4 linked regions of the Arabidopsis thaliana genome follow. The protein of the gene in region 4 purifies or fractionates together with the protein of the main gene of each other region. This does not show direct contact. Each region holds a gene or a part of one and is shown on either strand. Other genes may lie near its edges.

The links.
Region 1: the proteins of AT1G20580 (region 4) and AT2G47640 fractionate together in Arabidopsis thaliana (co-fractionation; one large-scale study listed by BioGRID). This does not show direct contact.
Region 2: the proteins of AT1G20580 (region 4) and AT3G11500 fractionate together in Arabidopsis thaliana (co-fractionation; one large-scale study listed by BioGRID). This does not show direct contact.
Region 3: the proteins of AT1G20580 (region 4) and AT2G18740 fractionate together in Arabidopsis thaliana (co-fractionation; one large-scale study listed by BioGRID). This does not show direct contact.

Annotation. Positions count from the first base shown.
Region 1 is NC_003071.7:19,535,212-19,542,547, forward strand, and holds AT2G47640 (Small nuclear ribonucleoprotein family protein), read left to right. Parts: upstream 1-1,962; 5' UTR 1,963-2,044; exon of another isoform or gene 2,045-2,049; intron 2,050-2,138; 5' UTR 2,139-2,181; coding exon 2,182-2,186; intron 2,187-2,293; coding exon 2,294-2,318; intron 2,319-2,648; coding exon 2,649-2,726; intron 2,727-2,916; coding exon 2,917-3,021; intron 3,022-3,103; coding exon 3,104-3,220; 3' UTR 3,221-3,539; downstream 3,540-7,336. Other genes in the region: AT2G47630 (alpha/beta-Hydrolases superfamily protein), read left to right, coding at 443-589, 707-837, 930-1,067, 1,146-1,244, 1,320-1,700; UXS4 (UDP-xylose synthase 4), read right to left, coding at 3,540-3,785, 3,853-3,945, 4,497-4,571, 4,660-4,743, 4,822-4,901, 5,272-5,419, 5,530-6,153.
Region 2 is NC_003074.8:3,620,159-3,627,501, reverse strand, and holds AT3G11500 (Small nuclear ribonucleoprotein family protein), read left to right. Parts: upstream 1-4,895; 5' UTR 4,896-5,027; coding exon 5,028-5,062; intron 5,063-5,197; coding exon 5,198-5,220; intron 5,221-5,606; coding exon 5,607-5,728; intron 5,729-5,816; coding exon 5,817-5,876; 3' UTR 5,877-5,897; exon of another isoform or gene 5,898-6,169; intron 6,170-6,377; 3' UTR 6,378-6,540; downstream 6,541-7,343. Other genes in the region: CYCB1;3 (CYCLIN B1;3), read left to right, coding at 363-402, 564-934, 1,014-1,115, 1,208-1,794, 1,883-2,027; AT3G11510 (Ribosomal protein S11 family protein), read left to right, coding at 2,636-2,638, 2,935-3,054, 3,142-3,187, 3,285-3,370, 3,453-3,582, 3,678-3,745.
Region 3 is NC_003071.7:8,120,008-8,127,571, reverse strand, and holds AT2G18740 (Small nuclear ribonucleoprotein family protein), read right to left. Parts: upstream 4,352-7,564; 5' UTR 4,239-4,351; coding exon 4,197-4,238; intron 4,097-4,196; coding exon 4,070-4,096; intron 3,971-4,069; coding exon 3,908-3,970; intron 3,187-3,907; coding exon 3,108-3,186; intron 3,021-3,107; coding exon 2,975-3,020; intron 2,872-2,974; coding exon 2,862-2,871; 3' UTR 2,494-2,861; downstream 1-2,493. Other genes in the region: AT2G18750 (Calmodulin-binding protein), read right to left, coding at 1-55, 151-348, 435-595, 681-1,174, 1,255-1,313, 1,404-1,479, 1,630-1,745; DGK3 (diacylglycerol kinase 3), read right to left, coding at 5,883-6,041, 6,120-6,236, 6,317-6,404, 6,492-6,569, 6,675-6,745, 6,866-6,948, 7,036-7,111, 7,218-7,305 and 1 more.
Region 4 is NC_003070.9:7,125,953-7,133,273, reverse strand, and holds AT1G20580 (Small nuclear ribonucleoprotein family protein), read right to left. Parts: upstream 4,408-7,321; 5' UTR 4,296-4,407; coding exon 4,137-4,295; intron 3,496-4,136; coding exon 3,443-3,495; intron 3,350-3,442; coding exon 3,283-3,349; intron 3,187-3,282; coding exon 3,133-3,186; intron 2,966-3,132; coding exon 2,903-2,965; 3' UTR 2,475-2,902; downstream 1-2,474. Other genes in the region: AT1G20600 (AP2/B3-like transcriptional factor family protein), read right to left, coding at 1-163; AT1G20590 (cyclin), read left to right, coding at 809-979, 1,205-1,396, 1,483-1,581, 1,680-1,858, 1,952-2,108; DPMS1 (Nucleotide-diphospho-sugar transferases superfamily protein), read left to right, coding at 4,597-4,715, 5,141-5,240, 5,335-5,368, 5,450-5,526, 5,603-5,628, 5,719-5,883, 5,971-6,085, 6,183-6,287; AT1G20570 (Spc97 / Spc98 family of spindle pole body (SBP) component), read left to right, coding at 6,715-6,846, 6,925-7,185, 7,281-7,321. UniProt on the Arabidopsis thaliana protein: Core component of the spliceosomal U1, U2, U4 and U5 small nuclear ribonucleoproteins (snRNPs), the building blocks of the spliceosome. May play a major role in the splicing of cellular pre-mRNAs. Required for normal plant development.

The sequences.
Region 1 (7,336 bases), on a different chromosome or scaffold from region 4:
GCATGATACTGAGAAAAAAGTCATTTCTTTCACTGCTTATCATTTTTTTTAACTTTTATATTTTAGATTTGATGCATTATACTAGTTAGGATTTGTGTAGTGATAGTAGCAGATCATGGATCTTAAATTCACTGTGGACCTTAGAACATTTATGTGTGTAGTAATACTCCTTAAATGCCTCTAGAAAGCAAGTCATGGAGGGTGTTAGGACCGGTAGGTCAACAAGTCTTACTTTATGTGGTTGGTTTTGGTTGGAGAACGACCCTCAGACTAAATTTAATTTATTTCATTTTTTTGGTCTTTCCTCGTTTAGAGTGTTGTATTTGATCCCTTGCAAATTAAATTACCTTTCTTTCTATGGCTAGCTTGGTGGTTGAGAAAATTTATTCGGAAGTTGATACATGTTTGAAACTAAACAAACTGATACATGTTTTGATTTTAGAATGCGGAATCAGGCTGGCTTCAGCTGGATACGCGGTTTTTGGTATGGACTATGAAGGTCATGGAAGGTCCATGGGATCTCGTTGCTACATCAAGAAGTTTGCGAATGTTGTGAATGATTGCTATGACTACTACACATCTATTTGTGGTATTTCATTTGACATATATAACAATAACATTCCTCTCTCTCTTCTTCTCCGTTTATCAGTAAGAAGAGATTTTCTCAACCCCTTAAGTTAATCCGGTTAATTTTATGTGACACCAGCGCAAGAGGAGTACATGGACAAAGGCAGATTCTTGTATGGAGAATCCATGGGAGGCGCAGTCACTTTATTGCTTCACAAAAAAGATCCTTTGTTTTGGAACGGCGCCATTCTAGTTGCTCCAATGTGTAAGGTAAAAAACCTGCAACTATAATTTTAGATTGCAGAGTCGTAGGTGATAATAATATTGAAATGCAAAGTATATTGTTATGTTTAAATATGCAGATATCTGAGAAGGTGAAGCCACACCCTATAGTGATTAATCTGTTAACTAGAGTCGAAGAAATCATACCTAAATGGAAAATAGTTCCAACAAAAGACGTGATTGACGCTGCTTTCAAGGACCTCGTCAAGCGAGAAGAGGTCTGTATAGTGTATACCAACCCTCTGATCACCATCGAAATTGGTTATATGTAAATAATTTGGTGTGTGTAAATGCAGGTAAGGAACAACAAGCTGATATATCAAGACAAGCCTAGGCTCAAAACCGCACTTGAGATGCTTAGGACAAGCATGAACCTAGAAGACACTCTCCACGAGGTTCATGTCTCTTATTGATTGTTCTTGATCCCGTGTTATGACATTATTTCTGACCAAGACAACATGATATTGCAGATAACAATGCCATTCTTTGTATTACACGGAGAAGCAGATACAGTGACGGATCCAGAGGTAAGCAAAGCTCTGTACGAGAAAGCTAGCACAAGGGACAAGACGCTCAAGTTGTATCCAGGGATGTGGCACGCTCTGACGTCAGGTGAGCCTGACTGTAACGTGGACCTTGTTTTTGCTGACATCATCAATTGGCTTGACCTTCGAACCGCTGACCCTGCCTCTCTCACTGTCACTCCTATACGAGTTGGTAACACTACGAGCGTCCAGAGGGTAACTACTGTTAACGGCGTTAGTAACGGTCATAGGAGGCCTAAACGTCCCTTCTTCAATCTCCTTTGTGGTTTGAACCGTGGCCGTTTGGTTCCACGATCCACTGTGTAATAAAATTTTATCAAGGCAAACAAAAAACAATTTATGAAAAAGAGAGTTATGATTTTGTGTGAATTATTAAAGATTGGTGGTCTCATGGTTTGAAATTTGAAAATGTATGGCCCAAAGAATTTATAAGTTATGGCTACCTAAAATATTTATATTCGTTTGGAAAACGTTAAAGCCCCCCAAAAAAAACATTAAAGCCCATATAAATTGACAAGGCCCAAAATTTGAAAGGCCTAACTTAACTATGTTGTAGCGCCGGTCCGCCAAGTACTTTCGAGTATCGAGTCGTCGTTCTTCTTCTTCCTCTGAGAGAGAGATCTGCGGAAAACGAAAGCGAGATTTATCAGGTAAGGTAAAACCCTAACTTCTTCGATCTTTCCTTGTGCGAAAATCTGTAATTCTGCTTTCCTGAGTCTCTTTCGTATTCCTTTACTTTGATAGGTTCGGTGATTCTTTGTGGAGAAGAAGCTCGCGATAAGTCAACATGAGGTATATCTCTCGATGGTTCTAAGTTTCTTCTGCATTTTGTGGTGCTCAATTTGAGACTTGTCTAACACTGTGGTGTTTCTCTTGATTTTCTATATTTTTTCTCGCAGCAAGCCAATGGAAGAGGATACCAATGTAAGCTTCCTTCTAATTTCTCTCGCTACTGCTTTTCTCGATTCGCTGTTTGCCATAATTCATCTACTGTTTCCAGTTTCATCAATCTTAGCTGTCTCTAGTACTTGAGTAGGACTGTGCCACTAAAGATTTTCACTGAATTTTTGTTCCGTTCTGCGTTGAATGGGCAGTAGAGAATTGGATGTTTTCATCACTTCTGCCCTTTGTTGTAATGTCATTTGATTGTTGCTGTTATAAACTCCATTAGTTTCCTGCTTGTATGATACTCTTAAGGATGTGTTCTCTCCTTAAATGTTGTTTCTAATTCATCATGCTTGATACTGTCCTTAGCAGGGCAAGACTGAGGAAGAGGAATTCAACACCGGGCCACTCTCTGTTCTTATGATGAGCGTCAAGAATAACACTCAGGTATAGAGATCTCTAGGAGATGTATTGAGCTTCTGATGTTAGATAATGATGTTGTATATGAAAACTGATTAAATGGATAGATGTTTTTGACCTTCATGGGCTAGGTGTTAGACAATGAAATATTGAAATGTATAACGAAGAGTGGTTAAAATGGAAAGGTTATTAACAAGGTCAACTTTTTTATGTTCAGGTTTTAATCAATTGCCGGAACAACAGGAAACTTCTTGGGCGAGTGAGGGCGTTTGACAGACACTGCAACATGGTTCTTGAAAATGTCAGAGAGATGTGGACTGAGGTAGCCAATATTCATTATCCTGAAATCAGTTTTGTCTACATATAAAACTTGTGGTGCCTGAGATGGCGTTGGTTTGGTTTAGGTTCCGAAAACTGGGAAAGGCAAGAAGAAAGCACTTCCGGTGAACAGAGATCGGTTCATAAGCAAGATGTTTCTACGTGGAGACTCGGTCATTATCGTCCTCAGGAATCCAAAATGAGAGGAAGAGAGACTTAGAGACATGTTCCTTGTTTGTTGTGCTAAAACTGATAAATTCTTGTAGGTAGTAGCATCTTTTAAAGTTATTCGTCTCATTTTCGTTTATGTCCGAATTGACAAGATCTTTTAAAGATCTTTTAAAGACATGTTCCTTGTTTGTTGTTTGTTCAGCTCGCATGTCCAAGCTCAAAACTACGGTGATTGCATTAAAAAAAATAAAACTTTAAAATCGGTGAGGTTTCAATATCACTACATTGACAGGAATAGAAATATCAAAATTAAAAATGAAAACGAAGAGAAACGAGAATCTCCAGCGACAGTTACTCTGTTGATGATGAAGTGGTGGAAGAATCCTGCTTTTGGTCGCCAAAGACACGTTGACGGAAATCTTTGACCATAAGTGGGAGTCCTTGGCGTAGAGCCACCTTTGGTTCCCAACCAAGAAGCTCTTTGGCCTTTGTGATGTCTGGTTTCCTCTTGTGTGGGTCGTCCTCTGTGTTTGGTCTGAACTCTATCTTTGCGTTCGGGTCAATTGTCTCTTGAACCACCTGCTCACCCACCATCCACTCGTTTGGGTCAGATACAAAGATTTTGAGTGATCAGATTATATGTAACAACAAGAGAAAAATGTACCTTAGCGAGCTCGAGCATGGTGAATTCACCGGGGTTACCAAGGTTAAATGGACCGACATGTTCTCCCTCCATCAACCTCATCAGACCTTCCACCTATCACATTATATTTTGCACTCAAGTTTACCAGTACACAATAATAAATAACCATGTAAGGATACGTAGAGACAAAATGAAGCATGATTTTTCAGCTCAACAAAACAAGGACATGGTATAATAAAGATCCGTTGTTGGTACCATAACATTGATTGATATCCATCCATCCCCAAAGTTTATGTCACACTTTACAGAGCTAATCCATTTTACTATGGCATCAAGGTTAGTGAATCCCGTTCACAAAATCAAATCATAGAGAGATCGTAAATACAAGTGATTAGACTAACTATCCGAACCTCAAATATAGATTCTCAGCCACTTATTGTATCCTAGTGAGATCAACTATAACTTTGAATAGTATCAAGATAGACTGTTTTCTGTTTTTACCATGTCAAGTCTGAAGTATACCCCATGAAAGTAACAATTGAAAAAGATGTGGTCATGGCAAAATTTGAAGAAGTAGGGCTACTACACCATGAATTGAACTTTTCCTTGTTTTTATCTAATCATGAATTTGAAAACTTAAGGAGGAAAAAGTAAAAGGGGATTACCAGATCAGAGACAAACTGGAAACTCCTAGTCTGCTTACCATCACCATAAACAGTCAAAGGCTCTTTTCTTAATGCCTGCACAACAATCATCATTACTTAATAAAAGGTATAATTCCGTTGATCATTTATTAAGCCACTTAATCTAACACAAAGTCCTCCGCACCTGGGCAACGAAGTTGCTAACCACACGACCGTCATCGATACACATCCTTGGGCCATAAGTGTTGAATATCCTAGCAATCCTAACCTGTTGAGGAATAATAAATCAGTCAAAATCTGCATCTGCATTTTCTAGCAGCGAAATATAATGAAAAAGAAAACAGACCTCAACATTAGCGCCTCTGTGATAGTCCATGGTCAAAGTCTCAGCCGTACGTTTGCCTTCGTCGTAACAACTCCGAACACCTGTTCCAATTTGCCATATCACTACTCTTTCAATATTCCACCAAACACAAATTGCTCAATCTATTATTTCAGAAAGAAGAAAATTTGATTAAAATGTGGGAAGGGGGGTAAAAGCGTCAAATAAGGAGGATAAAAATATCTCCTGCGGGTGCGTCTATGAAAGAGACACACGTCTGAGAGCCGTACGATTAAAGGACCCACAATCTACGCTTCAAATGGAAGGAACTTTGACCAGATCTTAAAAAAGAACTCTCTCTCTCTGTGTTTCTTCTGCTAACGTGCTGTGTTTCTTCTGCTAACGTGCGCTTAATTGTTGTTTCAAAATGAGGAAGAAGAAGAAGAAACAGAGAGGGAGATGAAGGGGTAGTACCGATGGGATTAACGTTGCCCCAGTAAGTCTCAACCTGAGGATGTTGAAGAGGATCTCCATAGACCTCACTCGTACTCGTCAGCAAGAATCTTGCTCCCACTCTCTTCGCTAGTCCCAACATGTTCAATGTTCCCACCACATTCGTCTTGTATCCACACACACAGAGTTAAGGACAAGAGCAAGCAAGATCCATACTACATATAACAACATTGATGATGATAAACTGAAATTCCTATAGAAGGAAAAGAAAAAGGATATGATAGTCTTGACGGGATTGAATTTGTAGTGAACAGGAGAAGCAGGGCATGCCAAATGGTAGATCTGATCAACCTCTAGAAGGATCGGCTCCACTACATCGTGACGGATCATCTCGAAATTAGGGTTATTGAAATGGTGCATCACGTTCTCTTTCCTTCCCGTGAAGAAATTGTCGACCACGATCACGTTGTCTCCTCGAGCCATCAACCGGTCCACCAGGTGTGACCCGACGAACCCTGCTCCACCTGTCACAACAACCCTTAGCACTTTCCGTTTCAAGCCTAGAGGGATTTTGCCGCCTGCCGATCCGATCCGGCTCATGTACTCGATGCTTGGCTTCTTATGAATCGTCGCTGGCAGATACGATGACTCCGATCGCATTCCGTATCCGGAAAGCGGATCCACGTCGTAAGGAATTGGTTGGTGGTTGGATGATTTGGAGAAGATTGTGAATCCTAATGTGGCGATGGCAATGCCGACGAGGACGAAGACGAGTCTCTGTTCTCTGAGCATGTAACGGATCGGACGAATCGCTACGAACCATGGCTTTATCGGCTTTGGATAATAAGATTCCGCTTCTGGTTGCTCTATCTCGTGTCGCCGGTTTGTCAGCTCAGACGCCATCTTTCAGAGTTTCTGGATCCACGATCGTGATAAATGGAAGGAGAAAGTAATCGTGATTTTACCGAGTCGAACTAGCCGGAGACTGAGTCGACCTGTAGGACGGGGAGTGAAAACCGATTTGGGTTTTCGCTTGTATTTAAGTAGACGAAGGTGCGTTACTGTTTTAGCCTCGTTCTTCTTCTTTTATTACGATGATGCCCCTATATTTACTTTGTTTCTCTCTCTCTTTTAGGCGTTTTTCAGATTTGAAAAGTAAACGATTCTTCAAAACCGGACGGACATTGATTACTATCTTCGTTCATTTGTTGACCAATTACAATTTTCTCTTTTATAAAATGTTGTCTTTACAAAATTAAATGACTAGTTTTATAAAGAAATAAATTTATTTTCAGTTTTGTATTTATTACTTGTTGTGAATCAATCTATTTATGACTTATTAAATAACTTTGATGTTTTATTTGGCAACTACTGACATTTTCTTTGCATTTTTATATTTTGTATAAATTATAACTTTTGTATTCATTGTCATTATGGGGAAATGAATTTTTGAATTGGAAAGTGCTGACAACATATAAAGTATATGTAATATGACTATGTAAGTAAGGAATTATTTAGAGAAAACTTCATACTCGATCGATATATAAAAAAACGACGAAAATGTATCATAGAGTTAACAAAGTAGAGTAATGTACCTTAAGAAAGTCAATAAGCGCCTAATTTGTCACGCAAAGCCAATTTGATGGCAACTTTGAGTGATTTCAACGCTCGTTTATTTTCTTCTGTTTAATTATTTTTCCCACTAGTGATACCTAACATATATATATGATCATTTATGTATACATTTATCGTTAGGAAATATATTTTTCTCGTACGAAACGTTTATTGACAGATTTATAAACTCACATGCATTCATAACGTTTTCACTTTTTTGTTGAGAAGAAAACGTGACATAACAACGTTTTTTGACACAAATTTTGGCATATTATTATTTAGGTACAAACATGTTTTGAGTTTCGATGATAACTTTTTTTATGGGTCAGATTATATTGTATGGGTGACCGTGGTAATAACATTTATCTAGGTTTACTTTGACGTTAACTTCCTAACATACATAAACAAAAACGAATATAAGTTTGCTAAGAGAAAAGAGGAAGAAACAATAAGAGATTGATTTGGTGTCGAT
Region 2 (7,343 bases), on a different chromosome or scaffold from region 4:
GACTCCCTTAAAAAAGAAAAGAAAACCAATTATAGGAAGAAATCAAACTCCAAACTTGTCACTAATGGGAAGAAATAAACCAGTAATTAAAACTCGGACCTTGTCATTAAGTGTGTGAAAGGCGTGAATCTTCACAATCCTATAAGACAAAACCTCCTTATCCACCGTTAGATTTAAAGTTCATCATCCAACGGCTAGAAGTCTAATCCCGCTAATAATTTGACCGTTGCGATTATGCTTTTAATGGCTCCTCCTCTCTTCTCTATCCCTTAAGCGCTCTCTCTCAAATCTCAATCATCCTTCTTCTCATCTAGAAACCCCTTATCTTGGAGTAATCAGAGAGTTTGAAAACACCAGAAATCATGGCGACAGGACCAGTTGTTCATCCTCAACCAGTTAGAGGTTTGTTTCTCCCCTCTGATGAATCTTTGTTTTAACTCTAGGATCTGCATAAAAACTCTCATCTATGAATCCTTTTATTTAGATGTTATCAAAGATTGCTTACAAATCTGTTTTCCAAGGATCCAAATCTTGATAGGTTGCTTTTTGTTAAAATTTATCAGGTGATCCCATCGACCTCAAAAACGCAGCAGCAAAGAATCGTCGTGCTCTTGGCGACATTGGAAACGTCGATTCTCTTATTGGAGTCGAAGGAGGAAAGCTTAACCGCCCCATTACTCGTAACTTTCGTGCTCAGTTGCTAGAAAACGCACAAGTTGCAGCCGCCGCTAACAAAAAGGCTCCGATTCTTGATGGAGTTACTAAGAAACAAGAAGTTGTAAGAGCGGTTCAAAAGAAAGCAAGAGGTGATAAGCGTGAGCCGTCAAAACCAATCGAAGTGATTGTGATAAGTCCTGATACAAACGAGGTTGCTAAAGCTAAAGAGAACAAGAAGAAAGTGACATACTCTTCGGTTCTTGATGCTCGAAGCAAGGTAGATTCTTTGTTCAACATTGAAAGCATAATGTGCAAAGTTCTGATTATTTGGTTTTGTGATTGGTGTACACACTTAGGCTGCTTCTAAGACTTTGGATATTGATTATGTCGACAAAGAAAATGATCTTGCTGCTGTGGAATACGTTGAGGATATGTACATTTTCTACAAAGAAGTTGTGGTACACTTACAGTGAAACCTTCTTTTGTTTATGCTTATGGATAAGTTATGTGAATGTCTTCTTTAAGTTTGTTGTTTTGTTCTTTGTTGCAGAATGAGAGCAAACCTCAGATGTATATGCATACACAACCTGAGATTGATGAGAAGATGAGATCAATCCTTATTGATTGGCTTGTAGAAGTTCATGTCAAGTTTGATCTCTCCCCTGAGACTCTTTACCTCACTGTCAACATAATTGATCGTTTTCTTTCTCTGAAGACTGTGCCTAGAAGAGAACTACAGCTTGTAGGTGTTAGTGCTTTGCTTATAGCTTCGAAGTACGAAGAAATCTGGCCTCCTCAGGTCAATGATTTGGTATATGTGACTGATAACTCCTACAACAGCAGACAGATTCTAGTGATGGAGAAAACCATTTTGGGGAATCTTGAATGGTACTTGACAGTTCCAACACAGTATGTGTTCCTTGTGAGGTTTATTAAAGCCTCGGGTTCTGACCAGAAACTGGAGAACTTGGTTCACTTTCTAGCTGAGTTGGGTTTGATGCATCACGACAGTTTAATGTTCTGTCCTTCCATGCTTGCTGCATCAGCGGTCTACACAGCAAGGTGTTGCTTGAACAAGACTCCTACTTGGACTGATACACTGAAATTCCACACAGGCTACTCCGAATCTCAGCTCATGTTAGTCTTCTTAATTCTTTACACTAGCAAGTTTGTGATCATATTGTTTGTATATTAATTCTCTATGTGCGTTTCTGTGTGTAATCAGGGATTGCTCAAAGCTTTTAGCTTTCATTCACTCGAAAGCGGGGGAGAGCAAGCTACGTGGTGTGTTGAAGAAGTATTCGAAACTTGGAAGAGGTGCTGTTGCTCTGATTTCACCAGCCAAGTCTCTTATGTCATCTGCTCCATGAACAAGGCTTGAAAGATGGCTCTCTTGCAAACTCTGCATTTTAGATTCTCTATCTTTTATCGTTTTATATGTAAAGGTATTGGTTCTTGTTGAGAAATGATGTTTCCGTATGAATTCAAAAGTATTATAATGAAATTCTTCTTCTCTTCTATAATCAGAATCGTTTTGGTCCTTTTTCCCATCATATTCTTTAACTATGGAGTCAAATTCAAATTACATAGTTATCTGTTATAACTTGAAAACTTCTTTGTTCTTCATAAGACCAAGTACGATGGTACGATCAAGGTGAAGTTGTTCACATTTGTCAAATAATAATTTCCAATAAGAAATCTGGTGAATTTTGTTACTTGTCAAAAAAAAATCAAGAAAATTAACAAGACTAATAGTAATAATCGAACGACGACGTAATGTTTAAGAAAAAAAAACACCAAACGACGACGTAATGGGTAATGAAAGTGATGAGGGTATTTACGTCAATTCATAGAGGTACTCCGATGTAACCCTAATATATAACGTGCATTTGTAGCGCCGTGAGTGTCCTTCTTGTTTACACTGAGCAGAATCTAAAAACACTTATCGTTTCGTCTCTTCTCTGATCCATTGTTGAAGATGGTAAGCTCTTTCTCTCCAACATTTTTCTGTGCCAGATCATTTGGTTTTCGTTAGTCTGTTAGGAAATTGAGATCTGCGATTTCACTTAGTCCTGCTAGTTTCCGATGTTCCATACTTATACGTTTGTTTCAGCTATGCAAAATTGACTTATTGATCTTGGCTTGTCTGATTCATAGTTTAGGGGTTGTCTGATTAATCTCCATGTATTGATATTGAGCTGATGGTATGTAATTATGGTTAAATACCAGTGAACAATTTGTTTCTCAAATGTGTTTTGTTCTCTCTGTATATAATAGTCGAAGAGAAAAACTAAGGAGCCAAAGGTTGAGACTGTGACTCTTGGACCTTCTGTTCGTGAAGGAGAGCAAGTTTTTGGTGTTGTTCACATCTTTGCATCTTTCAATGACACTTTCATTGTAAGTTTTTTCTCATTTATTCTTAGCGTTTGTGTAATATAACCTTCTGTGTAATGCGTTTATGACATTGCTTTCAATATTTTGCAGCATGTGACTGATCTCTCCGGTAGAGAAACTCTCGTCCGCATCACCGGTATGTTTCCTAGTAGTGAATTTTATTACCTGTGTTTATGTTAGTGTAAAATTCATTTATATTTCGAGAAATATAATGATTATGTGACCTTTTGCAGGTGGCATGAAGGTGAAGGCTGACCGTGATGAGTCCTCTCCTTATGCTGCTATGCTTGCAGCTCAAGATGTTGCTCAAAGATGCAAGGTCTGAAATGATTCGATGTCCATGCCTTTTTTTAATTGACTTTGAGGTTCTGGATGATAATCTATAATGGTTTATGTGACAGGAGCTTGGCATCACTGCCATGCACGTGAAGCTCCGTGCTACTGGAGGAAACAAAACCAAGACTCCAGGTCCTGGTGCTCAGTCTGCTCTTAGAGCCCTTGCTCGTTCTGGCATGAAGATTGGTCGTATTGGTAAACACACAAACTTAGTCTCACTCAAGTTGTTTTGTTTTGTTTTGTTATGATTGCTCATTGGAAGCTGAATCTTTCTTGAATGCATTTTGCAGAGGATGTGACTCCGATTCCCACAGACAGTACACGCCGAAAGGGTGGACGAAGAGGAAGAAGACTCTGATTGCACGATGAGGCTCATCATCGTTGCAATGTGCTCTTGAGACTGTGGGTATTTTCTTGGGTACACTTCGAAGTTAGTTTTGTCTCTCTCCAATTTATCTTTCCAGTTGCTTTGAGAACATTATAAGCTGTGTTTTTTTGTATTTGGAGTTTTTGGTATTGAGAAAAAAAATGTTAAGTTACTGATCGCGTCGTGTTACTGTTAGTTGGCTTATTGATATTTTACATTTTCTCTCTTTTTAACTTTGGCGAATGGATACTTTATCGAGATATTTAATGCTATGGTTGCTCATCAGAATCAGATTAGAAAGTCCGATGCAAGTTTTAGTATGTCGTGCTGGTTCCGAAATCAAACCAAGCCAGATCGTTGTTAACTTGTCATAATCTGTTTTTGAGGCCCAATTATTCAACCAAAAAAGTCAATTTTAAGAATGAAAAGAGTTGATTTGTGGCATGTGGTGAATGCAATTAACAACTATACGAGAGATTGTATGATAAAGACATCAAATATCCCAAGTCCGGCTTTTGGAATTCTTGATTAGAATGTTATCGCTTAGATTGTGTTGAATGGCATCTCTTGCAAGAAAAAGAAAACAGATTAGCAGATTATGATCATATATTTCTTATTAGCCCTGAGCTGTTAGTGCATTATAAGCATCAGACCCCACTTATAGCCTCTTGCAATGACTTAAAACTCATCATATCCTCATTTCTTGATGCTCTTGGTTGTTATCGAAGACATAAACAACATGGATGTTTAAAGAATGCTCTTTTATGTTCTTTAGTCTCTATGAGGAGCCATATCACAGGCAATATTTCCTAGTAAGGAGAAAGGTTTGGTAATTAATTGATGCAGTGGGTATCTTTCTTTTAGTTTTATGGCTTTTGACTACATGTAATTCAGATAATTTTGGATGGGTAATCACAATTCAAGATAAATTGTTATAAATAATTTAGTAATATAAATGACTAAATATCTCTAATTAGTAACACCGGGTGTTTGGTCTAGTGGTATGATTCTCGCTTCGGGTGCGAGAGGTCCCGAGTTCGATTCTCGGAACACCCCTACTTTTATGTTTTGAAACATGTGAAAGGCTTTTTTTGCGGTCAAACCCATTAACAATGGGCTTGAAACGACGGTGCTTCGACCACTCTAGTTTTGCAGACCGACGTCATTTTTTTTCTTTCTCTTTCGCTCTGGAGACTGGAATCAATCGAGTAAAGTGTTCGTAGCTGAGAAAAACCCTAAGCTCTCGTTTTTCGTCTTCTCCGATTCTGCAAGTATGAGTCGATCAGGTCAGCCTCCAGATCTCAAGAAGTAAGTTCTCTTCGCCACTTTTTTCCTTTTGATTTCTAATTTCTCTGTATCCATTTAGTTGAAGTTTTTGGTTTCATAGAGCTCCTACTTCTTCGTGTTTCTGATTTTGTTCTTCGTTTGTTTCATGTAATGCAGGTACATGGACAAGAAACTCCAAAGTAAGCTCGATCTCTTCTTCCACTTTTTCAATTTTAAAGCGTCTTTAAGTCGAACCTAAATCTCTTACTCAGATGAGAATTGCTTGCAACCCGATTTCTCAACTTAAGAGCTATATTAATGCCATTTCAGTTCATGTATTACTTGGGATTGCGTGTTTTTGTGTACTAATTAAACTTGTGTTTACAATTCCAATATATAGATTCAATGCTAATCTTGGTTAAGAATATATCAATGTCACATAAAGTTAAGAGTTGTATGGATTCTTAGGTTTTGTATCTCGTTCATTTAGAATTTTACTAGACTTTGTTTGTTATCATGTTTTTGTAACTTGGTATGGTCAAGTGAAGTTCTTGTCTGCTTTTTTTTGTTGTTACCCCCAATGTAGTTAAGCTTAATGCCAACAGAATGGTTGTTGGAACTCTCCGTGGCTTTGATCAGTTCATGAATCTTGTTGTGGATAACACTGTTGAAGTCAATGGTGATGACAAAACTGACATTGGGATGGTGGTACGTTTCTCTCCATCTCTCTAACTCACCCACAGAATCTTCTTGTCATTTGTTTTGTTTAAACATTCTACTTTTTTCCTGGATGCAGGTGATAAGAGGAAACAGCATTGTTACTGTTGAAGCTCTCGAACCAGTTGGAAGATCTTAGCTTATGACTTTTCACCCCCAAGTAATCATCTTCTGTAATATGAGACTTTGACTTACTTTGCTCTCTGTACCGGCATGAATCAATCTTGATTTTATTTGATGAATTCCTCTTCTTTGGCTCCTCTACTTATGTCATTTTACCCTTGTTCGGTCCTGTTTGTTCCCTATAGATTTTTCTGAACCCTTGATTTGATGGATACAAGGAAATTTGGATACTTACTGTCCTTGTGTTATAATCTCTTATCATATGTGTTAGTCAGGTATAAGTTATATAATCATTTCAAGTTAGAGAAATCAATGTAGTAATGAAAAAGCTAATTTTGAATGGTCCAAACCTTAGAGAAAGCAAAATACTTTTGTTGTGGGGATCTGAATTTTGGGTAAATGAGCTCCAACGGTTGTTTTTCTTTTGCTTTATTAGTATTTTAAACCCTTTTTTAGCCCTCTTTTTATCAAAGTGAGATCATAATCATGCCGTTTGGCTCCTCTGTTACTATTAAAGATGTTGTTATATGAATAAGAAGAAGCTAAAAGAAAGAAAAGGAGAAATAAGAGAAGTGAAAGTGGAAGGAATCAAGGAAGCATGTGCCCCACGAAGTATTGTGTGTGAGGCAAAATGAATGAAATCGGTACAATATCTATCAATCTCCAATGAAACAGCAACAACAACAACATGTAACCACAACGGAATGTTCGGCACGTGGGTCGTCGTCGGCACACACGTGGGGTGGGCTTTGTTCCAACTTACATTCATATCAAGTATTATCAACCACAAAACTATGAGTTGAAATGCCTTTTTTGGTAGAAAAGTAGGTATTTGTGTTTTGTCTATAAATTCTAAATTATTTTCTGTCCAAGTCATTATACAATTTGATGTGTTTTTTAACATTTCGTGGTCGGGGATCTCCAACTAATATAACAAGTAAACGAATTTTAAACACATGGATTTACAACTAATCCAAAAAGAACTTTCACCAACTTCACTTTCTCTTTTATTCTTTTCTCTTTGGTTTTTGGGGAAGAGAATAGAAAGAGTACGAGAGATTGCTTCTTTCTAAATTCTAACGGTAAACAAATATTACATAAAAATGTTAACCATCTTCGTATATTATTCTCATGGACCATTTGCAAGTAACTAAAAGATTCACTTTAGATGCAAGCTGTTCAATGAACTTCACCATCCTTTTTTTTATTTCTTTCAAATTTGATTTTACAATATCAATCTCATTTTTGTTTGTCACAATATCAAAATCTCACATCTTAGCGTGGATTACAATTTGTGTTTAACTATTCCATCATCATTAAATTTAATGACCAAAAGCCATAGAAATTGTGTTATTATGGATCATTGGTTGTTATTAGGTTTACCAAGTACATGAGACTAGTCTCATTGTAGATAATCTTTTACTATTTTTTTTTCTCAACTGATTATTATGGATTTATGCTAGATTTCTTCTTCTTCTTTTTT
Region 3 (7,564 bases), on a different chromosome or scaffold from region 4:
CAATAACCTGTTCCCAGTTTTCATAGGCTTTCCTCACCAGTCCATCGACGTAACCCTGCATCATATATATAACCTTTTACTATTTTCCGAGTATATGATAGAAGAATCAAATCTGTATCTATAAGAAGCAAGAAGACCCAACAAACATACCTTTTGATTGTCAGAAAGAGAATCAGCAGGATAATACTGCTTTCCTGATATAAGACCACTAAACTCGTATATATTGTTGAAAACAACACCAACTGAGTCCTCGGGATAGTAGACGTAAAGCATTTCACTCAATACACATGTCTTGGAATGCTCTGCAAGTGTCTCCCACATCCTGTTTGACATGCCACTTCCAAGAATCTGAAAATCAGAGTAAGAGTCATCATGATGAATAATAATATTTGAACATCTTGGTAAGATACTGGATAGTTAAATCGTGCACTCACAGTCCTTAGTTTCTGAGAGTCTTTGACCATAAGACGCAGGAATTCTTTAACATTGTAGATTCCTGCTTTATTGAGTTTCTTATGGAAAGCCCCGTCCTTTCCAATCTTTTCCAACCTCCAGACCTCATCATCCAAAGCAGGTGGGTAATGTTTCTTGTACACTGTAGGAAAAAAAAACATTAGGCAAAAGAAAAACAAAGATTCAGATACATCAATGACTAATATCAAAGGAAAGCAAGAACTTACACTCTCCACGATGGTCCTTCACGGTAAAAGCTTCTGTTTTTGCCTCGCGTACACGCATTCCCTCACAGTAACCCGAAGAGACCCTTAAACCCAGCCTGAATTTTCTGCATCTAATCCAACTTGAGTTGTCCGTAAAGATAAGTTCCCCTAATGTTCCCACACCTTCTTTCAACGTGACCTGCACATCACCAGTCAAGAGAGGCCTCTTCCCTTGACGTTCTTTCACCAAATGACCCTCAAACTCTTCTCCACTCCAACCATCATCATCTTCAGTGTTAAAATCACCATCAAGCACAACAACATCAAGCTTTGCAGAAGCTTCAGGTCCTACTGTCAAAACATGTCCAGTTGTCATATCCAACAGTACAACATGGATTGCAGCACCTTGCTCCCCTTCTATCTTCCCTCCAGTAAACAAAGGAACAGACAATCTAGACCTGAATTGTAGCTGCAAATTCCTTCCACCGATACCTTCAATTCGTTTTGGAGACGACCTGTGAACTCAAGCATTAGAAGAAAACCACAAATACTCCAACCATTAATTTTATCTCTTTTTAAAACAGTCATATGTTACCTTTCACTAAGTCTTGCAGGGCCAAGCTTTGCCAATGCCCGCTCCACCTCTTCACTTACCTGTTTGACAATGCTCACAAAACAAATCAGTAAGCCAAAGAAACAACACAAAGCACCAAAAGACATGTAAACAATTCTTATTAAGCTAACCACTCGGCGAAGAATCGGTTCCAAAGAAGAACAAAGCCTCTGTAAACTATCCATCTTCAAGGCTTCCACAATTACACTGCAATAACACATACACAACTTTCTCAAATCCACAGACAATCAATATACATAACAACCCTTTTTTCATTCATACAACTACAAATCAATTACAGATTCAACAACGCCATAATCAATAATCAGAAAAATTACAAGCATCAACACAAATTACCTTGCAAGAGCTGGCCTTTTACGCTCAGGCTGTTGCTGCTGCTGCTGATTATCATCTTCCTCCAATTTTCTCTTCTCTCTCATACTATTAGTCCTCTCCATATACCTCGTCTGCATTTTTTACGCTGCTAGAAGCTCTGATCTATAAGATCGAAGCAAGTAAAAAACTTCACCAACCCAGAGAAAGAATCACAAATCCAGCTCTCAAACTAAAAAAAAAATCAAAACTTTACCACAAACAAATCAAACCCAGAAGCTAAGCAAGATTTTATGAATTCTACTTAAAAGCTTCTTCAAACAAACGGAAAGAGAAACCTGAAAATTCGATTCGAAGGAGAGAGAAAAATACCTCAAAAATGGTGTTTTGGATAGAAGAAAAAGAGAGAGAGATAAAATGAAAAGATCAAAAATTAATTTACTTGAAACACTTGTCTAGTTTTGTGATTAGTCGAGTACTTTGACTAGTTTTAGTAATTAAAGATAGTTATCGGGTGCGGACAAGATCACAGTAGGCTTGGATTGCCGTCACTTTTGCTTTTCGTTTATTGGACGACATTCTTGGGCCGGCGGCTAGTGTATGTATTTTTGGCACATGCTATATTCTAAAGTTGATAATTAAATAATAATACTTTGTTGTATAAAGTCCAATTATTTGTTATTAAAAAAAGACTTTAATAGTAAAAATACATTCATTTCACCAATAGCAAGATTAGGGATAAGATTCAACAATCAACATGGATATAAAAACATCTAATTGCAATGAAAAGTTAATGTTCACATAGATTTCTGTATTTTTATGTTAACTTTAACAGATTATATTCTGATTGGTCTATTAGTATAATTAAACTTTCAATCTACTTGAGCCCTGAGAATGGCCAACTCGGTCAGTTCACCAAACAAACAAAAATGATACAATTTTTTTTATAATCAAAATCAATTGGTTTTACTTTTTTAAGGTTTGAAATTTAAACAGAGGTTAAAAAGTTGCAACAAAGATCAGCCAAATTACATAACACTAGATTTAACCAAAAGGGACCAAATCTCTTTTTTGAAGTTTTAACCAACCAATCCACTAGATTCGATCAAGCTCCTTTGTCACTCACTACATTGCAATATATTATACGACATTGAAGAAAAGAAGGTATCGTCAAGTACCAATTAAGCTGAGGAAGAACTCAACAGATATTTAACATAAGCTTGAAGGTCATCGAAGAGAGTTGTTTGAGACAGACATCACTTTCCCCTGTTAACATAGAAAGGATTTTGTTTCAATCTTTTGTTATGTGACAAATCAAGCTGCTATACATCATAAAGAGAGAAGACAGAGTAGAGATTGTGTTACTTACGTGTTCATCATCAGAGTTATGTTGTCTCCTTTGAGTAAAATCCTTCCTGAAAATAGGTATTAACACGAGTTATCAAACCATAAGCAGACAGATCTGAGACTTGTTATCAAAGAGTGAGTTCAGGATAACTCACCAAGTGGTTTCCTGGTGTTCTTCTTGATGCTCACTTCTTCAGCCTCATCCAAAACTAGATTCATGTATTCGTCAAAACCCTGCAAAGGACGACGGATAAGCAAGGTTTGATGGATTCTCCTAGAAGAATCAATAATACACCCAAATTCAAGTAGACAAAAATCTAAGTTTAAAACCGAGTAGAGTGACACTATCACAAATATCATGTTCCTCCATACATATAATCAACCTCAGAAAAGCTAGGATCTTAACTCGAGGAACAACAAAAGTCAAGTAGACTGCAACATGGAACAACAAAAGTCAAGTAGACAACTCAAACCTTTAAGCCAATGAGAATGACACCATCACAAAATCTCAAGTTTCTCCAAATTATCATAGAATCAAACTAAGAAAAGCTTGAATGCTTGAATCATAACTCGAAAATCATAGAGGACATACAACTACAAGCATAGCAACAAACTGAAACAAGTAACACCCAAAGCCAAGTAGGCTGTAGGAGACAATAAGTTTTAAGCCGAAGAGAATGACACAATCATACTCAACCTAAGAACAGCTAGCTAATCAAACTAGTTTCTATTGGCAGGCTCTTATCAGTTCTTTGTGCAGTAGTAGTAACAGTGACAACTATCCCTTTTCAATTCACAACAAATGCAACAGTTCAAACACAGACTAAATTAGAGAGATAGTCACACTGCTAATGCATTTCAAACTCTCCTAAAGTTAGCATAACCCTCGAATGTCCTATAAACAAAGCCAGGAATCTAATCAATTCATGATAACGGAGCTTCAACATCAACTTACAGTGATTCTTCCTTCAATCCTCAAATCTTTCTGCTCAAATAGCCAAATCTGGATCCTAGCTTTCTGCATCACAAACACAAAAGACCAGGGAACAAATCAGTAGACGAACTACTAATAACCTAAAACCTCAGAGAGCAAATCAGAAGAAATTGAACAACTTACACTTTGAAGAAACCTAAAAATCAAGTTCTGGAGCCGCCGCCACCGGAAAACAAAAAGCAAGATACAAAATTAGGTTTCGATAGAAACAATAAAGAGATGGAACAAAGGAATCGAAGAAGAAACGTACGATAGGTTGGGTCATAATCCTTTGAACTTTGGTGCTCGCCATGGCTAACGTAGTTGGAAATCTCTCTCAAGCTTTCGAAAATTCTCTCTCAGAGGAAATCTAAAACCCTAAAAAGCGTTTGTCCCTCTGCTAATACGCTTTTTTCAACATTTTTCTTAAACTTAGTTCTCTCGGTCCTCATAAAACTTCAGAATGTTATTTCAGCCCATAACTAATTAATGTGATCATTTGGCCCAAATACTCTTTTCCAAGACCTAGAATTTTTTAGCGTAGGTTTTTAACTTTTTTTTTTTTTTTTTCAGAGAAAGATTTATTTTTAATATACTGAGGCTCAGTGTTACAACATAAAAGGCTCAAGACAGTCTACATATGAGGTCCACAACAGACTTTTACGTCACAAAAAAGAGATAAGCTTAAGACGTGTCAGACCAATAATAATAAGCTAAGGACACGTGAATCTTCCACAACCTCCACCGGATGAGACTCAAGTCTGGTGAATCGGAGAACCATCGCCGGGAAAGCACCGAGCAATGAAACTCTTTTTTTCTATCACCGATTATGGCAATTAGATGTTATAGAACAAACATCAATTTCCTAATCTCATATGGTTGCTAGAATCACAAATAATTCATCAAAACGGGTAAAGAAATTAAAAAAATTGAGTAGTTCAAACTTGTCCAACCATTGAATCTTCGAACTCTCTTGCAAAAGCACTAAAGGCATATCAAATTTGCATAGGATAGAAGCTTTAACCCAATCTTAGGCGAAAATAAAATTGAAACTGTCTTAAATATGGTAGATCCAAACGAGGGTAATTGCTGGAAACGCACACATCGCCGAAAAACTACCAGAGCCAAAAGCATAACCCAATAGTGAAGCTAAACAAAACAGAAGGAGAATAGATCTTGTAAAGAGAAACCCTCTTCAGATCTGACGATTCTGCATGCCATAAAGCTTCATCATCAAACCTTTGAAGTAACAAAACAAAAACAAAGATGACCAACGCTGTTAGTGTAAGCCCAACGCTGCCGTACGGAAGCTGGCCAACGTCGCTAAGTTAGCCAACGATGCCATACAAAAAGCCAACCATCTCCACTAACGTAGCTAGAAGATGTCGGACGAAAGCCCGAATTAAACGGGACGGCGACTCACCGGAAAACTATCCGGTTAACAAAAACAAAAGAAATTTCAGTTTCTATCTTTACAAACTACGAGAGAGCGAAGAGAGAAAAACTTTTTTGTGTGGTTTATTAACTTAGGTTTTTAATTTTTTATTATTCTGGTAAAAATATACGACTAATAATGATAATTATTAAAAATATTCTTACTTAGAAATTGGTGTCGATGATAAATTGGTTCTCAGTCGAACTAGTGTTAAAATAAATAAAAATATGACAAAGAATCACATCTATGTGCTCAATGCTAGAATTACAAAGATTGAAGAGAGATTGAAATTTGACCAAATATTATCTTCCCACATTCTTATAAATAAACAAACTTCATTCCTCACAACACAAAAATGTACAAAACCAACAATAAGCAGAAATTAAAAAGAGAAAAATGGTCACAATCTCAGATTTAAAAGAAAAGAAGACTAAAAAGCTTAGGCTATATCTATGACTAACTGAATCAAATCCAAATACAAAACAATTAGCTTTGTACAAAGAATCCAGCTTTGAATCTCAATCATTCATTATTTATCATCAGAGATTGATAAGGAACCTTCTTGATCTCCACAAATGTTGAGTACTCAGTGCTCATTGGTTGCTTCCATGGCTCACCATCCATTTGCAAGAATGCGTCTCTCCAGTCACCTCCTCTTAGCTCAAATCTTACCGCAGCAGCCTGAAATGATCACCAAAATGAAACAGTCAAACACATGGCTAAAAAGATTATACATTGACCAGTGTCTTTTGAAGTTACCTGAGCTATGTGCTTGGCAGAGATGAGCTCAGCCATGACAAATGACGCGTGCCATCCTTGCTTAAAACCGAAAATCTCTATCAAACCATCATCACAATGTGCTTCCACAAAGCCTCTCTGAGAAAAACCAAAGAAAACATTCGGGTTAACATCAGAGAACTGAGTTCATATATGATGAAATGGAACAGAAACAATACCTTCTCTAGATAGTCCGGTTTTAGATTGCCCCAAGGATGGCTTCCACTTCCATAGCTGTGAAGATTCAATGCGACAATTGATCTCACACTACAAGAGAAATCCATAGCATCAGGTTTTAAGCATTGATATCAAAGATTGTAATACATAAATCATATATCGAAAACTGTTTTTTACTTTTTCGGGACTGCGATCTCTTCCCACTGAGAGCAGTTAACCTTTTTGATGTGAATTTTCATTATGTTCCTAAGTCCCCTGCAAATTCATATAGCACAAACAAGGGGTCAACAACACAACAAAGGGCTTAAGCAGAGACTTACACACAAGTTCAACTACACAATAAGAGTCGAAATGGCGAACCTTAAACCTGGATCGTTGACACAAGGCGTGCAAAACCAACCCTGACTGCAACCAAAACTTGAATATATAATCTGCAAAAGCAAACATTGTGTGGTTGGTAATGTCGTTTCTCAAAACCAACATAACTACTTTAGCTTTTAACAAAGACAAATAATGAGTCCAAAGTTTAGGTGCAAATATAATAAACAAACCTTATTTGAAATAGGGCCTTGAGCAAGATATGGTTTAGTGTTGCGAAGATGGTGGAAGCCATATGCAACTTGAGCATCCATACCTAAACAAACCAGACAAACACAAGAATCTGGTCAGAAAAACAATTGTGAAAATTGTTTAGGATATCAAAAAGAGAAGTTCAACAAACCTATGCTTAAGTAATTGTAGAAAACACCTTCATAAGCCTTTGCAAGTGGAGGCGCATCAATTCCCGCGTCCAAACCCTGAAACCACCATAAAGCCTGGTTAATTACTAAACCGTGGCAATTTACAAAATCACATGCTGATGATTCAATGAGAAGAAGCAAGCCTAATGAAATAGAGCAAAACCTGATCAAGTTCGTTTTCTTCAGCGGGTTTTAAAGAATAAGGAGGATCTACGACTTCTCCAGATGGCATTGACACTAAAATCTTCCAGCTGCAACACCACATAACCAAAGCGCATACATTTTTACAACAAGAGAAATACAATAAAAGCTAAATGTTTTGAGCAAAATAAGACTTTTACCTGTCAAGTCTAGCAACTGGACCCATACTTGCGCGATGGAGTGTTCTTTTAACAGCAGATCTCCACGCAAAAGGAAACGAACCACCCTGAAGAAGAGATACCATAGTCAGTACCAATTCAAAAGTTTTGTCACGACAACATAAGAGAGAACAAAGAAAACACAACTCAC
Region 4 (7,321 bases):
TTACTAGTAATAATGGAAGGGACGCAACCTCATCATCTATATCGTCTTCATCATCTATATCCTCTTCACGATCCATAACATCTTGCATCAATTGTGCTAATATGTATGTAACTTCTTCATCTTCTTGTGTTGAACTTGTCGGTTTACCTGTTGAATTCGCCATGATCGATCTCTCACGTTCTCTCTATCTTACCTTGCTGAAGAACCTATCTATAGGGTTTGTTTTTTTCCTTCTTTCTAGCAAATCAATTTCCTTTTATACTTTGATTTTCCATTTAAATCATATATATGAAAGTTGGCCACCTCATATTAGTTTAGTAATTTTAGTTAGATATTTTTTTATTATTACGTTTTGTGAATATGATTTTATCATATGACCTTCTTTCTGTATATTTTTGTGCGTTCTGATAACTTGGTAATATTGATAAACAATTTTTTTCACGTAATAGTCATCTGACACATTAGACATACCAAAAAAAACATAAGACATTATATTGTTATATGCAAAAGAAAATAATTAAAGTGTTGACTTAAATTACTAGCATATCATGATGTGATTGTTTACTAGATGACAAAAAAATATATGGAATAAAAAATTGTTTGTTATAATTAAGTTAGACAAGTTTCAAAACACATAAGTAATATAACTACATTCATTTTATCAATCTATCATATATTGTTGTTGTATGTGATTATGATAGTTAAATATTAGAAAAATAGATATATAAATTTTCATATTATAGTAGAATTGATATTTCGAGTTATAGATGAAACTAATCATAAAAATTAATAATTATATTAAATAGATATGAATTATAGTAATAATTATATTGAACATCAAAATAAAAAAAAAACCATAATCATATTTTTCCGACAATTCAAAAAACAAAAACCGATGCTACGCATGGGTGTTCATCTAGTTGTAATTAATAAAAACACATTTAACTTTTTTAATCGACAAAATAATTATTTTAACTCTGTAAAAATACTGCTCTGTTTTTCAAAAACGTCAATGAGAGATATAGACTAGAGACCTCTCTAATAGCTGATGATGAATTTTTTATAATAAAAAGCTCTGTTTCTTGATACCATGTCGTATAAATTTCTATATCATACATGTATATGCTCTACTTGAACGACTTCTTATGTAACTTGAGTTCTTGTTATCTCAATACAAGTTATGTTTGTTCATTCTTGTCTTTAGGGAAAAACTAAGAAGATTTTTGTCATCGACAGATTCCTTGCGGTTCATCAAATCGTGAGGAAAAAGCTTCAGCTTGTTGGTGTTACTGCTTTGTTGCTCGCATGTAAATATGAAGAAGTTTCAGTTCCAGTGGTAGATGATCTCATCTTGATCTCTGACAAAGCTTACTCTAGAAGAGAAGTGCTAGATATGGTGAATACACAACTTTGTCTTGATCATTAACTACCACTGGTTGATGCTTCATAGTTGAATTTACCTGTTTTTGGTTTCTATTGCAGGAGAAGCTAATGGCCAACACCTTGCAATTCAATTTCTCTCTACCAACTCCATATGTTTTCATGAAACGATTTCTCAAAGCTGCCCAATCTGACAAGAAGGTATATATCTCCCTAACTAAAAAAGCTTGAATCATTATGTCCGGAAACCATCAGGCCTAATATCTAAATCGGTGTGGTATATGCAATTGTGGTGTCAGCTTGAGATTTTATCATTCTTTATGATCGAGCTTTGCCTTGTGGAGTATGAGATGCTAGAGTATCTTCCATCTAAGCTGGCGGCCTCAGCAATCTACACTGCTCAGTGTACACTTAAGGGATTTGAAGAATGGAGCAAAACCTGTGAGTTTCACACAGGCTACAACGAAGAACAGCTACTGTAAGAACATACATTGATTGTTTCGAATTTTTTTGAAAACCCGATGACATGAGATTTTGGAATCCTGACAATGGGTTTTGTGTTTTTTCCTAGGGCATGTGCGAGAAAGATGGTTGCTTTTCATCACAAGGCAGGAACAGGGAAGCTCACAGGAAGTACAACACATCTAAGTTCTTTCATGCTGCAAGAAGTGAACCAGCTGGGTTTCTGCTTTAAGGGAGGAAAAAACTATAATAAGAATCTAATATGACATAACTCGAGTTTTTCTTTTGAACAAAAAGAGTGTGAGAGAAAGAGAGATAGAGCAAGTTGCCCAAATGGGATATGTACAATGGTTGGTTCGGTTCTTCTCTTTTTAAGGTCTTTAAGATCTTTCTTCACTTGAGAGAGAATAAAAAGAATCTTTTGATATCATGCTTTCCTATATTCAACTTGTGAATTGATCCTACTAATTTCATGTATAATCGTTGTAAAATACTCAGGAAACTCTATGACCCATTTTGGTTAATATTACTCAGGAACCGAACCTCTACACTCCATCAAATATTCTTCTACAAGTCGTTTTGGTGTTTGCTGGTACTCTGGAACTAAACTTTTATAGACTAAATATTGTACAAGTCATTTTGGAAATTTTTTGGATAATTTGGGAAAATAGCAGTAGACAAGGTTTTACATGTTGAAAATACAAGTACAATATTATTTTCTAGCTTATATTATTAATGTTATAAATGACCAACTTTGTTTTCTGATCTTAGTCTTATTAAGACCTTTATGAAAACAATGTACTTTGTTTTACTCATCTACTGTCAGAAATGGAGAATGCGCAAAGAAGAAAATAGATCACAACGAAAACTTGTCAATGATTCAAACATCTTGGTAACCCAAAATACAGAACTAGTAGTGCATCTGGATATCTCTCTCTCTTGTTTGGTTTTACAGTGTTCTCTAAAGCATTAATGACAGAACCAAGAAAGGCGGCTTTCACCTGGATATCACAGAAAGACTATCCCAGAATCAAAGCTTACATGTTGAGCGTAAAATCAATCATCTCCTCACAGGTGGTACCGCTCCCCTTCCTCCAGTTCCACGCCCGGGCCCGGCAGCCGGCTTTAAGATAATATCACAAAGATTCAAGAATCTAACCATTAGTAGTGACAAAGAAGAAACAAACCATTAAGGGATAACAAGGATTTGAACATCTTAACAAGTTCCATAAAACTTCCTAACATTGCATTCATGAGCACTAAATCATAAGAGAGAGAGGGTGAACTTACTTTCCCTCGCATTGCACCTCTACCTCTGCCAACACCCAGTGATGAGCTCTTTCCCTACATTGATTAAGCAAGTAAGGTAAGATGTTTGTTGGAGATATGTATAGAGATCCTAATATCATTCTGCATCCAGGGTTCAAAAAGCATATATACCTTGATTCTAGCATCTAACCGCTTGAACATTGGAGCATGTTTGAGAATGTCTGGTATGACCATAAACCTGTCAAGATATATCCGCAGGTCAATTACTAAACAGCTAGGGTTAACAAGAATGATCCCATGAATTACATAAACAAGGAAACAAGTACAGCACCTGACTTTACTGCCTCGAATGAAGACATGCTCAAGCTGTGATACCTTACCATCCTGTAACACAGCATTGGAAAACCCAAAACAAAAGTTCAGTGACAATTAACAAACAAACCCATTAAGTTGACAGATTATTTATGTATACTATGAAGAATAACACTTAAAGAGTTAAGACTTTCTGAATTGAGAACTACATGTAGTTCTTTTCCCAATAATTACAGGTTGACTCAAAACCCATACGGCACAATAATCCGCAAATAAGAGGACGCTTTAAGACCTGCATACTTCAGATAATTCACATTTGACCACTGTATTCCTAAAGAGCAACTTAGGCTTTGGATAAAACGTTACAAAGCACAAACGTAGAACCTTTCTTCTCAGTTATTGATGTGTCCTATAGATCAATAATAAGTTTAACCAATCAGAGGAGACTATACCCTACAGTCAAAATTTATCTAATGTCACTGGCAGGATCACGCATTCTAGGGTTTTATACAGCATGAATTTCAAGGATTCTTAATCTCACTTAGAACTTAAAATAAGAAGCAATCTAAAATTTCCCAGCAAATTTGCCCAGCTCACCAAATCTAGGGTTTTAACAGCACTAACATCAAACAATGAAATTGAAACGAAACCTATGGTTCAAAAAACAGTCTCATATAAAATGAATCGAGATCTTCAGAGTATCAGTTGATTACCTTGGCGGTATAAGTAATATCCTCGAGCTGACAGTTCCAGTTATCCTCACACTCAATCATACTTCCTCTGTAAAGCTCGCCGCTCTTTAGCTCCACCGTCACGATATGACCTGAGGCCTCGTGAAGAAGCTTCACCGGTATTCCCAAACTTCGGCTCATCTTTCTCTCTACAAAACCCTAATTGAAAACCTTCTCCTTTAACTCTGCAACCTAGAAAGAAAAAAATGGCGGAAGGAAAGAAGAGCGACTCAGATGCGATTGACGAGTTTACCTCTTTTAAAGCTTTCCTGATTTATTTTTGGGCTTTATATAGGCCCATATTTATATTAGGCCCAATTTGAGAAACTTGCTTTTTAGTCCCTATATTTGACATTATTTTAATCCTTATTTTTGTACAGACGACGGCTGATTTCACGGGTTAAGACGAAGGAACCACCGTTACCAAAACTCGCCGGAAGAGATGGCGGACGAGATGGAGACCAAAGGAGAGAAGAAGTACAAGTATAGCATAATCATTCCTACCTACAACGAGCGCCTCAACATCGCTATCATAGTCTACCTGATTTTCAAGCATCTCCGGTAAATGAATATTTATTTCTTTTGGTCTTTTCACGTTCATTCTTTCATTTCAGAATCGGAATTACGTTTTTTGTTATTCTTTTACTGAATACTCGAACCTGATCGCCAATTTCAAGTTACGGATCTCGGAAATTTTCCGATCATGTTTCTGTAGATTGCAGATCCTAATTCGTGATTTGTTGTTTCTGTGCATGAGCTAGTAAAGGCCAATGTAGTGATCCCTCAAACTATATAGTAGTAGTTTCATGGTGTTTTAAAAACTTTGATTTAGTGATCGGAGAATAGTCAGAAGCTACATGTGCTAATCTTAGATCGATTCTGGTTATGGCTGCTTATATGAAATTAATATAGAATTGCACTTGTTAAGTAGACTCTTTGTTAACTGTTACTGAGAATTTGCTTCGCTACTTGTTTGTATGATTTAGGGACGTTGATTTTGAGATAATTGTTGTGGATGATGGGAGTCCTGATGGCACACAGGAAATTGTCAAGCAACTGCAGCAATTGTATGGTGAAGACCGTATCGTGAGTACAATGATGTGTTAAGACCTTAATTTGTAAATTATTGGGCGTTCTTCTGTTTAGGTGAAATCATGTTTTTATCTTTTTTATGATGCAGCTTTTAAGAGCTAGAGCCAAGAAGCTTGGTTTGGGTATGTAATTTGTATCTTCATTGTCTTCTAGTTTTGGTTAACAAGAAATGAAATTAATTTTCTTGGCATGGTCAATCTCAGGAACTGCATATATTCATGGTTTGAAGCATGCTACGGGTGATTTCGTCGTGATCATGGATGCTGATCTTTCACATCATGTAAGAGCCATTAATTTAGTTTTCTTGTTTACCTGTTTAATTGTTTAGCTAACCCAGTCACTTTTCTTCTGTGCAGCCAAAATACTTACCAAGTTTCATCAAGTAAGAAAAAGAAGAGTCTCTTGATCTCTTACTAGTTTCACAACCTATAGTGACTTCAACTGATTTGTTTTTTTTCTTATTATCATAAAGGAAACAACTAGAGACAAATGCAAGTATAGTAACTGGTACACGATATGTAAAAGGTGGTGGTGTACACGGGTGGAATCTTATGCGGAAACTCACTAGTAGAGGAGCAAATGTGCTAGCTCAAACACTTTTATGGCCTGGTGTATCTGATTTAACAGGATCATTCCGGTATAATTCAAATAACATATGCGCATATTTTTAACTGACATCATTTGATAGTATCATGTCTGACCTCCGCACCTCTTTGTTTGGAAGGCTATACAAGAAATCGGCGCTTGAAGACGTGATTAGCTCATGTGTGAGTAAAGGGTATGTCTTTCAGATGGAAATGATTGTTCGTGCAACCAGAAAAGGATACCATATTGAAGAGGTCTCTCTTTTTATACCAATTCACTGTGATTTTGATTCTTTCTAAACTATATTTCCATTCATATTCTTGATTCTCTGGTGCTCATCTTCATCTGCAGGTACCGATCACTTTTGTTGACAGAGTCTTTGGAACTTCGAAACTCGGAGGATCTGAAATAGTGGAATATCTAAAAGGCCTCGTCTATCTCCTGCTTACAACTTAAGACACACCAAGCAACTCAACAACACACGAGTCTCTCTTTATACTCTTCATTTGTTCCATTGCTTCATAGATTTCTCTTAACAGTTGAACTCTGATCATGTCGTTTAGAAACTTCACTTACTTTGACTTCAGAGAGTCGCATCTTTTAAGACTCAAAAGTTCATATTATAGACATTGTTGATTTTGAATGTTGAGTTGAGATATCTTACATTTCATAAATACCTTAACCAACCAACCAAAGAAGGTTTTATGTTTTAGATCGTTCGTAATGTGATAATCTTTGTCACTGCGACGGGCCTTTATAATTTGGGCCCATTTGAGACCTTTCTTCACTTGCTCTCACTCACTCTCTCTCAAATTCACCCACATCAAAGCTTCTCCGATTTCCCTCCGAACCAATTTGGTATGTGAAAATCAAATTCACAGTGATGTCTGAGTCGTTGCTTCGTATTGATCACGCCGGCTTAGACACCCTAATTCCGGGAATGATGTGCAGTCACAGAGTTTGGACACACTCAGAACTAGCTCCTCCTTCAGTGAGCGTGAATGAATCCCATCTGGTAATGCCACAAACACTACTCTTTTCAAATTCTTTTCGGCAAAGCAACTTAAACCCTTTTTCTCCGGAGGTTAATTAGGTGAAAGGTCTCTTACAAGCTTTGCAAGGTTTCTCTAGTCCCTTCATTTTCTGGGACCGAAAGGAACAAACTTTCCGCGCTAAAAGTGAGATACGAGTTTCTCATTTGTCTCAGTCAAGCCTTCATGTCCTTCTCGCTGGATTTTTGTATGCTGCTACATGTTTGAAGCTTGTGGAGTCTATTGTTAGTGGAATTAATGCCTCTCTTAAATCTCCTCCTACTTTAATGGCATTTTCGAACTCTGCCTCTGGTTGGCTTGAGGCAAGTAGTCCACAACTCCCTATTAGTTTTTTTATTTATTTATTTGGCTTGTTCTTGAATATTTGAGACTGATGTACAATTGGGTATTGGAACAGAGACTTAGAGATATTGCTTTGAATGAGGAAGTGAAGATCAA